Drosophila melanogaster: one gene and its partner. The protein of the gene in region 1 interacts with the protein of each later gene in a pairwise test. Each region holds a gene or a part of one and is shown in the gene's direction. Other genes may lie near its edges.

Region 1 (5,169 bases):
CTTTGACACTTGACGAAGGATTCATGCTGTCCATCACAGGCAATGCCTCTCTTCGTTTATTGAGTATCGAATTGAGGGTTTTGCAAAGGCTTTGTTGTCTGGTAAATTGTAATTTTAAAATAGAATAGCCTTTCTACCATTTACCTTTTATATCAAATGGGTTTTAAATTGTATTCACTCGGCAACCTTGGAAAATATCCTTTAGATGCCATTTTTATGATAATTAGTAGGTTACATTTACAACATAATGGAACTCTTCATTTTATTTTTAGTTTTCTATTATTATTAAGTTGTATATTCTTCTTTTCAAATTGTTTTCCCTAATTGTTATGTGGCACACTGCGTATACGTAATCTTTTCACTGGCTGGAACAATTGACTGCTTGACCTCTTTTGGCCATTCTTTGGGTACTCTCCCCCTTTCTTCGCGATTCCTAATTGGAATCAAGTCTCATACTTGATGCAGTCACGTTCCCAGGTGCATTTACTTTCGAGCCGAGCAGTGTACATAAGTGCATGTTAGGGTGGACCAATTGTTGATGAACTATTCAAAAGTGCAGTGTATTATTTCTTTAGCGATGTTCATGATAAATAAATACCCAATAAATAATGTAAGCATAATGTTGAGTAAAAATGAACAGGCAATTTTAAGATCTTTTTGATTTTTTAATTGTATCGCTCTATGGTCCACCCACACATATTCATTTGCTTTGAAGTGCAGTTAGCGTCATTTCAAAAACAGCTGGGGAATGAAGTTACTGTTTTTGCATTTGCATTTGCCTTTGCACTTGCCTTTGCACGTTGTTGTTACATTTGCCCGTTTGTTGTTGTCATTAGAATCGTTGCCAGGAGCAGAAGTCGCGTGTTTTTTCCCCGTGATTTATACGATCTAACTGTTTTTCCATTACATTTGCGTGCCCCAGCTGCTGTTCGTTGTTTTTGTTGTTGTTGTTGATGTGGTGACTGTTGCCTAATAAATTGTCTACAATTGTTCATTGCACTGCATTATGTCGTTGTTGTTGTTATCATTGTTGTTGTTGTGAACGTTGGCGCAGCTTAGCATTATAATTAGCTTTAACTGCAGTAACTGTTGTTCTGCTGTTGTTACTTCTGACGTCTTAATAGCGAGTCGCCAGCTATGAAATATGGCCCTAACTATCCACAGGGTCACTCCAAAGAATAAGGGTAAGCTTATATAAGGGGGCAACTCCATCCGCACCTTATTATTTATCGTAAGTGGTCATTAAAGGTTCTTGCTAAGGGATGGGGAAACTTCTCGCTACTCTTGCATCACATACAGCACAATTGCTGCGTCGTACTGAGCGTATCTTATAGATATATATCTTATTTATACCCGTTACTCTTAGAGTTAAAGAAGCGACCCTATAAAGTACCCTATACTTAATATTCTTCATCAGGATCAATAGACGAGTCGATCTTGGGATGTCCCTCTGTCCGTCCGTATGAACGTCGACCTTTCAGGAACTATAAAAGCTATAAAGTTGGAATTAGGCATGCAGAGATTCAGAGATATAGATATTTTGTACAATAATTCCTTTCAATATGTTAGACAAATTTTTAAACTTCTCGTTCGCACTTCCACTATAGTGCTGAGTAATGGGTATCTGATAGCCGGGGAACATGACTTTAATGATATCTATTGTTTTTAATTTAATTTGAAAATCCTATTCTCTTTATTATTATTAATTGGAAAATCCTTTTCTCTTCATTATTATTAAAAAAAAAAGGGTTCAACACATTTTAAGAATATATTTCAAGCTTTAAATGGGTACTAAAGCGTAGTAGTTATCATTTTTAAATAAAGATCAATATAAATAAAAACGGCATCTAACTCAATTATCAAGGAGTTTTAAAAATGAGATAAATATTTACCCTAAATGTATGTAAAATAGGTTTTAGTTTTGTGAGGCTATTGAAACAGTTGTTATAGCACTCGATTTTCAAGCACATGACAACCTGAAAACCATTGACACAAATACAGACTGTAGAAACTCAAGGAGATGGAGCCGCAGAGTGAGGTGAATCCCAAGCGGGTGGCCGCCTTCTTCCGGAGAAGCAACATAGGACCCGTGTGCCGGGTGCAGTCCAGTTCGGACATGGAAGCCTGGCTAGCCTCAAGGGCGTACTTTACACTGATCACGTACTTGAACGATGTGAGCGCCGAGATACAGGGAATCCGGAACACCGACTTGTTTCCAATCAGTAAGAACATCAAGCGACTGACGACCATCTTCGAACAGCTGGACTCCATGATTGTGGCCAATTCTCCGGCGCCGCTCGTTCTAGGTGCCAATATGGATTCACGAACCAAGAGCTACAGACGCTGGGCGCACGGCATGCTAAGGGACATATACAAGATTGTGGAGAAGGCGGTGCCCTCCAGCAAGTGCAGACACGTCAACGAGCTGGGCGTGTATTTATCGGGCTCCTTCGGCAGCTCCGCCAAAATCGAGTACGGGACCGGGCACGAGCTGAGCTTCCTGTTTTTCGTGTGCGCCCTCTTTAAGGCCGAGATCCTCGATAAGGAACAGGACCTGGCCGCCTCGGCTTTGGTTCTATTCGATCGCTACTTGCACTTTGTGCGCCGCCTGCAGGTAACCTATTCCGTGAACTCGTCCAACTGGCATGGTGGATACTCGCTGGATAAGTTTCAGTTTGTGCCATTCGTTTGGGGATTCGCACAGTTGTGCCACGAGGCACCTTTCTCCCCAAAAAAGATGCTGGACGAGGACACCATTGCCAAGTACAGGGACGCGTACATGCTGATCAATTGTGTGGGCCACATGGCAACCACCAACGTCGGCACCTTTGCCCGCCACTCCAGCCAGCTGTGGAGTCTGGCCGCCCTGTCCTCGTGGACGAAGATCCATCGTAGTCTGATGTTCATGTACATGGAGGACATCCTTATGGACATTGACAACCTGAATGCCCTGCGCTTTGGTGAACTGATGTCCTTCGAGGAGGACAAATCTGGCCGGCATCTGGGAAGCGCTCGTATGGGAGTGAAGTCTCCGCTGCGCCGACAGATGGCGGAGGATCCAGACGACCAGGATCAGGACCAGGACCTTACTTCGAGAAGCGGCACCCCCTCCATTTCCAGATCGGAACAGAACGATAGTGCCAGGAAGAAGGCCAAAGTGGAGGAGACCTCCAGCGACTGCATGTCCAACAGTGGCCTCTCCCTGGGCAGCGAATGTACATCTCTCAGCGGCGTTAGTGTCCATCTGCCCACTTGGTTGGATGATTGTACGGCCACCAGCAAGAACGCGTTTTAAAATTAGGGGTTTTGTGATTGGTGCAATATCTAAATATTCAAAATCGAATGCTCTATCATAGTCAATTTTTCGTTTGCAAAGTATCTGTTTGTCAATAACTATAAGCACATTTATCCAATAGTAAACAATGATGGCAAATACTATACCGAAATGAAGAAATATTCCAGCTTCGTGTAATGCGAATATTATGTGTGTCATCTGCACGAATATCCGGAAGCAACATCAGCAATCTGCAATGTGCAGCATAGCAACGACGTCAAGAGACCGCAGATGGCATACATGGGTCCAAAGATCAGCAGACCACGAAACCGACTTCCATCATGCGAGGCAAAACAGCAGCCAACTGGAATGCAGTGGCCTGGCTATGTGGCACAAGCTTAGTGTGTATCCGCCAGGAATATAACGCATACGCCGCGTGAGCCACCGAAGAGCTCGAGGACAGCGGGCTGGCGACGGCGATGGCGATGGGGATGACGATGAAGTGCGAAGGCATTTATGCCACTGCAGAGAAGAAAGCAAACTCTGGGTTGGGGGACTAGGGGAGTGACGCGACTCAAGTGACTCGACCAAAAGCGGATTACCAACGCGACTTGAGTGACTTCCCGAGCAGGAGGTGGCAAAACAGCTAGAGTGGCAACAATTGAAGCGGCGGTAACAGCAACAGCAACAACAGCGCCGCAGCAGAGGCGTGTTGGGAAAATGGAAATGAAAATGAAACAAGCTGCGTATTGATTTTTCCTCTTCAGCCCCATCGCTTAACTCAACTCCCTGGCGTTGTGACGTCAATGGGCCACCAGCACGCGCCAACATAGCAAGGGGATGGAACTCGGTGGGGAGGACAATTGGGAGGCCCACTACCTGAAATCCTTGGCAGGCCGCAATCGTGCTAACCAAATGTATCGAAGGGGAATGCTCTGGGTGAACCAAGCGGGCATCCCTCACATTCTTTGTGGATTAGAATTCCCCAATTTACAGTAAATACATACGTTGAAGCCTCGATGTTGGCCAAGTGCGTATAAAACTTGATTTATAGCAGACGGCAATAAACTGACGATGGTCAAAATTCTAACGATTTACAAAACTACATTTTATTATTTATGATATTAATCTTAACTTTTAACACTTTCTCAGTTAAAAAACCTTTGCTAGCAAAAAGTTTGCATTTTTGAATTTGAAAGGGTTTACATTTTTTCATTTGAATAAAATTCTTTCCAGAATAATTTTTATGATCTTTAGTTTAAATGCAAGAAGAACAACAGGCGCTGACTGTGGCAAGTCAAATGTGAGTACCTTTCCAAATCTGCCAATATATAATGAAAACATAGAAAATATGTAAAATAAGCTATGTTGTCACCAAAAAAGCTATGAAAATATATATATTTTTAGACTTAATAAACTTGCATTCCTTATTTGCGGAAATATAGTTCAGACGATTGGATAAGATTGAAATTGAAAAGAAGTTTACATACCTTATATCTGCTATTATATAGGCTGTACAAGTTATATGTCACTTCATTACAAACTACAGACTGAAATTTTAGATCCATTTACAAGGCTATAAGAGTCCCAAGGTCCCTTTATTATCCTAATTGCTTACTTGGGAAATATTAATAGCTACAACCAATATAATTCAAATATAGGGAACAAAAGCAACTATTTGCATTGGTTGTGTTATCATCAGCGCACCGCACTATCTAAATGGTTTCAACAAATGCCAACAATGACTAGCCACTAACAACTATATTTGGTTTATATCCAAGAATAGTTTTCCATTCAACACTCTTTTGGTGAAGACTCCAGCCAACTGCCATAAATCTTCTTCGCAAATTGCAAGACAAATTCGAGGCTTCCAAGATGTTATCCCAGAGTATTAT
Region 2 (7,618 bases), 4.0 Mb from region 1:
AAAAGTCCTTATATGCGATTTCATGCAAAACTAGACCATATGGTGCAATATTTATTCATTTTTGCAAGTGATTAATTAATGGTTTTAAAAAATATAACTGCTTGTAAACTATTATCTTAAATGAATACCCAAGAACTTACAGCGATCAAAATTGTTTGTAGCATATGGTCCAAATCACAGATTTGCAACCGGAAGTCCAAAGTTAAATTTTAGAATTACCCAAATTTACAGCGACATGAGTCACATTATTATAAACTCTGTTCCAGAGGGAATGCATTTCGGTTCACATTGGCCAAGCTGGTGTCCAGATCGGCAATGCCTGCTGGGAACTTTACTGCCTGGAGCACGGCATCCAGCCCGATGGCCATATGCCCTCCGATAAAACCGTGGGCGGAGGCGATGACTCCTTCAGCACCTTCTTCAGCGAGACTGGAGCTGGTAAGCATGTGCCGCGTGCCGTGTTCGTGGATCTGGAGCCCACTGTGGTGGATGAGGTGCGGACAGGAACCTACCGCCAGCTGTTCCATCCGGAGCAACTGATCACCGGTAAGGAGGATGCGGCCAACAACTATGCCCGCGGCCACTATACCATCGGTAAGGAGATCGTCGACGTGGTCCTGGACAGGATTCGCAAGTTGGCGGATCAGTGCACGGGTCTGCAGGGATTCCTGGTCTTCCACTCCTTCGGCGGCGGCACTGGCTCTGGATTTACGTCGCTGCTGATGGAGCGCCTGTCCGTGGACTATGGAAAGAAGTCAAAGCTGGAGTTCTCCATTTACCCAGCACCACAAGTATGTCATTTGCATATGGATATTATATCTATTGCTTGAGCATTTATAGAAGACCAATTAACATAATTAGTAAAAGACATGGGAAATTAGTCTTCGAAAGGCAATCTAATAATCGAACTTCCTGTTAGGTGTCCACAGCTGTGGTCGAGCCATACAACTCGATCTTAACCACCCACACAACGCTGGAGCACTCGGACTGTGCGTTTATGGTTGACAACGAGGCAATCTACGACATCTGCCGGCGCAACTTGGATATCGAGCGACCCACCTACATGAATCTCAATCGCCTAATTGGCCAGATCGTTTCCTCCATTACGGCCTCGTTGCGCTTCGATGGCGCCCTGAATGTGGATCTGACCGAGTTCCAGACCAATTTGGTGCCCTACCCACGCATTCATTTCCCACTGGCGACATACGCTCCCGTCATTTCCGTGGAGAAGGCCTACCATGAGCAACTGACCGTGGCCGAGATCACCAATGCCTGCTTCGAGCCGGCCAACCAGATGGTCAAGTGTGATCCGCGTCGTGGCAAGTACATGGCCTGCTGCATGCTCTACCGCGGTGATGTGGTGCCCAAGGATGTGAACGCAGCCATTGCCACCATCAAGACCAAGCGCTCTATCCAGTTCGTCGACTGGTGTCCCACGGGCTTCAAGGTGGGCATCAACTATCAGCCACCCACCGTTGTTCCTGGCGGAGATCTGGCCAAGGTGCAGCGCGCCGTCTGCATGCTGTCCAATACCACTGCCATTGCCGAGGCCTGGGCCCGTCTGGATCACAAGTTCGATCTGATGTACGCCAAGAGGGCCTTCGTCCACTGGTACGTGGGTGAGGGCATGGAGGAGGGCGAGTTCGCCGAGGCTCGCGAGGATCTCGCTGCCCTCGAGAAGGACTACGAGGAGGTAGGCATCGACTCCACCACCGAACTGGGGGAAGATGAGGAATACTAGAGAAAACGTTGTCAACAAATGATACAGCCATTACAACTTTATAAACATCACTTTCTTTCTACCAAATACCAATGCATAAAACAGTTTCGCAATAAAACAGTTTAACACAATTGCTTAAAATGGCTTATTTAAATGGGAAATATTCGTCTTTAGATGGAATTTAACTTTTGTGTTAATAAGAATAAAACTTTCTCATATAAGGAAATTGGTAAATCATATATTTATTGGAAATTACCCCTCCGTAAAAAACCCTACTTATCACTTTCTTATTGCTTTAAATATTAATATTAATTGGGCAAATTAATGTTGACTTTTAAAAGTTTTTAATTTTTGAAATCGTTACGTGTAATGGAGCCTTAGGATGCATTTTGAAACGCATGCGCAAAAATGTGTACACATATTTCTAGCAAATTCAGTAGTCGTAGACGTACCTTTTCAGGAGTAGCAGCGAAAAATATTCTTAAGATAGTTTTTAAGTTTAAATTAATTTTACATATATGTGAAAAGTTGTATTAAAAAATTCGCCCGTTATTAAATATAATATTGTTCTTTGGAAACCTCTGTGAATGTTATTTAATTGTAAATGTACATGCAAAATTGTATCCTCTTTTGTCTGCAAAATTGTATGTGCATGTATGTATTCGCAAAATTTAAGTCTAGTCTGTTAAGTTAATTAAGATATTGTTGAGTAGTCTAGGCAGACAACTTTATCTTAAAAGTCCCAGTTTAAACAGTTCTTATACAGAAATTGTATGATATGTATACATATGAAATATGAATATTTTATTTACCCATATATACCCCTTGGAATAATCAATGCCCCCAACGAATACAGACAATGCAAATCTACACAATACCAACAATATATTTATCTTTATTCGCCTTTACACAAAAAGCTTATGTATATCGAATATAATACTATTTTTTCAGGATCTTCGAATGTGATGAAAACCATACCTCTCTCTTCTCTTTTATATCTTTCTTCTTTTCCTATAAAACATTTAATACTTACATATTTCACCATTTACATTTATTCTTATTTTAGGTGGCTATATAATTTTTCATTACAGGAATTTGATTAAAACAATCGTAAGATGGTCCTATCTGCAAAACTCATATACTCTTCCATTTAAGTTCATCCTATAGCCAAAACGTCCGTCCGTTTTTATATCCGTTTGTCCGTCCGTTTGTATGTCCTTCCGTTTGTATGTCCGTTTGTCCGTCCGTTTGTCCGTCCGTTTGTCCGTCCGTTTGTCCGTCCGTTTGTCCGTCCGTTTGTCCGTCCGTTTGTATGTCCTTCCGTTTGTCCGACCGTTCCGTCTGTATGTTTCTTATGTTATGTATGTTGTATATGTTTCTTTTTAGCAAAATAAGATGTGTCTGGTTTCCTTGCCACCTATGCAATCCCCTTGTGAGATCTTAAACTTGTTATACGCCTAAATATGATAAATGCTTTCTATGAATAACCTTTATATTTACAGATTAACTGCACCGGATGACGTGGCATTTTATTTGTAACATATTTAAAATTAAATCAAACATTTAAAGAATGTTTAATTTAATTTACACTGAATTCATTTAGCACTGGGCCTTTAGTAGGGGTTAAATCTTATATGCGCCAAGTTGTTAAATATTCATAACTTTTGGGGAAAGTATCATCTCAATGATAGTGCGGGAAAATTAAGCTGAAATTAAATAGGGCGTAATAAATAGAAATCCTTAAACTATCACTCTGATTCGGAGTTTTACAGGAATGGCGGCATATGAGTAAAGATAGTTTTATTGAAATGACTCCTAATGACAGACGAAAAAGAGATTATTTCTGTGTATTTGCATATGCCCATCTCTTGGGTAAAGGATCAATGGTAATGATTATAAATTTCAGTTTTAAAAACATGCATCGGATACATGACGACGAGTATTCCGAGGATGCCAAGGAATCGGACTTTAAGAGTTCGATTCAGAAGGAGATATCAGTGAAGTCGAGACACCAAATTTCCATACCAGACATATGCTCAGATGCTGTTAAGAACAATTGTTTTCCGCCGACTGGCTTTCTCAATAACTCGATCACCTTTGCCTCACATGTAGTTAAGTGCAGCTCACCGGCCTCGAGCATCGATGAATCCTCAACGGCGGCCCAGCAGCACGAATCCAATCCACACATGCATATACAGGGTCAGCATATGATGGCTCCCGTTCCCGATCTGGGTTTCTACAATGTGCCCGAGTTCATATCCGAGCAGGAGAAGCTCATGTTCTCCGATGCAGAGAGATTCTTGCGGTCGAAGGATAATGAGGTGTGCAACAATGATTTCAGCTATATGCACGATGAGTTCGCCATGCGGAAGTACTATCATCCGTTATTTGCTCATGGCATATGCCGTTGGCCTGGTTGCGAAATGGATTTGGAAGACATCACATCGTTTGTCAAGTAGGTGGAGTACAATTAGAGGTATGAAATAATTATATAGGGTATGTTATCTAACTAGGCATCTGAATACGGAACATGGTTTGGACGATCGATCAACAGCACAGGCACGGGTTCAAATGCAAGTTGTCTCCCAGCTGGAATCCCACCTGCAAAAAGAACGAGATCGCTTGCAGGCAATGATGCATCACTTGTATTTGTCCAAGCAGCTTTTGTCTCCCACCAAAATCGACAGGAAGGTAAGTCCCTTTTTATGTGAGTAAGTATTGGTATAATGAAAAGTTATAAATATAAGGACGTGCCCGGAAGAGAGGGAAAGTTTTGCCGGAGTCCGCTTACCGTAAATAGCATAGGCCGACCCATCCGACAAACAAATTCACCGAGTCCTCTGAATCTTCCAATGGTTAATTCCACCAACTTGTGCTCGATCAAAAAGAGAAACCACGACAAAAATACATTTTCCATAAATGGGGGTAAGTTTGGGAAAAATTTACTATTACTGTATAAAAATAATAATGGTTTTTGGATATAGGATTACCCTATATGCTTGAAAGAGCAGGTCTTGATGTGCAACAGGGTAAGTAAATTATGTAGACTGATCGTCTTGATGACTATTCGTCTTGTGCTTCTGGAAGACATATAATAAGAATTTAAATTTGCAGAAATCCATCGAAACAGAGAGTTTTATAAGAATGCTGATGTACGACCGCCTTTTACTTATGCTTCCCTCATAAGACAGGTAATTTTAAAAACCAATTTCCTAATATAACATTAATTTATTTTTTTTATATATATTTTATTTATAGGCTATAATTGACTCCCCTGACAAGCAGTTAACCCTAAACGAAATCTACAACTGGTTCCAAAACACATTTTGCTACTTCCGGCGCAACGCAGCTACGTGGAAGGTAAAATGCCCCATATATGTAAATCTTCTTTCCTCCATATTATCTATATATTATGCAACATAACTTTAATTTGAGTATTTATGCTATATGATATGATATCTATGATCTGATATGACCATTTGTCCGTCCGTATAACTCTCGTTTGTCCGATTGGCGTTCCTAGCTTGTCCGCTGTATATATACTATATACTACCTTTTCCACATTGTCCACTACTTTGCCAATATTTAAGAGTATAATAGAGCTAAATACAAGTGATATATAACAAGGTAAGCTACACAGGTCAGATCCTGTTTTATTCCATTTCCTTTTTATATGTCTTAAAATAATCAAATTAAGTTTGGCCTATGCTAACTGATAATATATATCATTAGAACGCAGTCCGGCACAATCTGTCCCTTCATAAGTGCTTTATGCGGGTTGAGAATGTGAAAGGAGCAGTTTGGACTGTCGATGAGATTGAGTTTTACAAAAGACGACCGCAGCGCACTGCTGGCATTGGTAACAATCTAACCGGTGCTACCAATTCGCCGGACACTAACTATTTTGTAGCCATGAACATTGGGTATGTGGGTCTCAAATAGTTTAATTCTACTCACTTTGCTCCAAACTCCTTCCGTTTTGCTCTGTTAGTAAATATACATATGCCATTGCATGCATGCTCCTATATCGAAATGATATAATATGACATTATACGATCTTTTTACAGCGCAAATTGTAAACAGTGATTCTAATCTCTTAGTGGTAGAAACCCAAAATGATGTCCGTCTGCTCATCGATCTGTCTGTCTGTCTGTCTGGAATTTAGCTGATGAAGATTATCCAGGATTTCGCGTGTTATGAAAAATGAAAATAAGAAGACCGAAGACAAATGAACTAACCTTAATATCTCAATGAACTTTTTCTTCCTTTCACGATAATGCAATTTCCTGTTTCTGACTCTTGATGGGGCTCTTGTTTTGTCCAACCAATCATAAAGAATGCGATTCGTACGAACCTTTCCTTACACAAGTGCTTTGTACGTTATGAAGATGACTTTGGCTCGTTTTGGATGGTCGACGATAATGAGTTTGTCAAAAGGCGGCACTTGTCGAGAGGGAGACCCCGGAAATATGAACCGTCCTCCTCCCCAAATTCATGCCAATCCGGCAATGGTGTGCCCACTGATAAGAATCCCTGCGACAATTGTACGCAACATTGCACTAGTTTGCCACCGGGTGCTGATAATCCTCTAGATTCCAATAATCCAAATGATTTAGGCAGAATTGGTTGTCTTCCCTATTGCGGTAGTGATGGTTTAAGTAAAGCGTCCAAGGACTATAGCAATATGGACTCGGGTATGATCGAAAGTAACAGCCACTTGACAATCGATGAATATTCTACTAATATGTACGAGAGTAGTGCCAATGAGCACAATCGATAAATAATATATCATTAACTATACATATATTTAGATGCATTGTCGAGTAATCTGCGTTTGGTAAGAAGGTTCGGATTCGGAAATTATATCTGTACATACACATGGTTCTATGTATAATTTCCCAAATAGAAATGAAAAAATACTTTTAAAATAAATTTCACTAATGCTATAAAATAAACGAAAGAACTACGTTAAATTATTAAAGCAAAATTAATGTGTTTAAACTTGCTTTAATAACTCCACTTATAACACGATTTTAATATACGAGTACAACATATATGAATATTTTCACTTTTCAGCAAGGGAGAAAACATTTAAAAGCTATAGCTTGATAAAATTTTAACAAAACTGTTTTAAAAGTCACAATATGATTTTTTTTTAAGGAAACTATTTTCAGGTATACCTTCTGTTAAAAATCTGGACCCTTGAGAGCTTTAGATTTGGAAACTCCTTAGTAAACGTATATGCTTTTCTGCTGACTTATCTAATTTCCTTCTAATTTAAGATCATTAACGATACTCAGTGACCTAAATAAATTCCTCAAATATACAACAAAGTGAACAAACTGAATTTTATTTCTAGTTCCTAAGCAAACGGTTTACGCGACGTAAAAGCGGTTAAATCGGCTTCTCAAAAGTTTGTCAATCAAAGTTTTCTACCAATTCATTATTTTAAAGCGGTCTTTAGTATATTTTAGTATATTCTATTGGAGATTTTTTGGACTGCCACTATTTAAGGAAAAACAACCGATAAGAATGGACGCATTCGTGAACTTCTGTATCTTAAATTTAATAAAATATATACAGCCTAAGTACACATATTGTAGTCAATGTCAATTTAATTTGAAAGTAAAGTTTTTGTTTACCAATAAATTTGTTTGGAGAATGTATCGATACCGTCGAATTTTCCGGCAACCATCGATACAGTCGGGCGGCATCGGTTTTCGTCCCAGCTCTAGCCAGTACGGTCACTCTGAAAGTCTCTCAACGTTTTGTGACATGAAAATTCAACGAGGACACTGTGTACATGAATAGTTGAAAAATTAAAATGGTTTCCATGCAATTTGTTTTGCAACCGCTACCGGGCTCGGACGATCAGTTTATTGAAAGGTAAATATAATC

Evidence for each region.
Region 2: the proteins of CG2104 (region 1) and FoxP interact in a two-hybrid assay, tested with the Drosophila melanogaster proteins (one large-scale study listed by BioGRID).

The regions. Positions count from the first base shown.
Region 1 is NT_033777.3:5,690,094-5,695,262, reverse strand, and holds CG2104 (uncharacterized protein), read left to right. Parts: upstream 1-1,976; 5' UTR 1,977-2,020; coding exon 2,021-3,295; 3' UTR 3,296-4,372; downstream 4,373-5,169.
Region 2 is NT_033777.3:9,725,452-9,733,069, reverse strand, and holds FoxP (forkhead box P), read left to right. Parts: upstream 1-2,197; 5' UTR 2,198-3,636; coding exon 3,637-4,175; intron 4,176-4,233; coding exon 4,234-4,411; intron 4,412-4,467; coding exon 4,468-4,645; intron 4,646-4,704; coding exon 4,705-4,749; intron 4,750-4,834; coding exon 4,835-4,911; intron 4,912-4,978; coding exon 4,979-5,080; coding exon of another isoform or gene 5,081-5,143; exon of another isoform or gene 5,144-5,452; coding exon of another isoform or gene 5,453-5,662; exon of another isoform or gene 5,663-5,919; intron 5,920-6,056; coding exon 6,057-6,500; 3' UTR 6,501-7,050; downstream 7,051-7,618. Other genes in the region: alphaTub85E (alpha-Tubulin at 85E), read left to right, coding at 267-791, 920-1,741; hyd (hyperplastic discs), read left to right, coding at 7,545-7,606.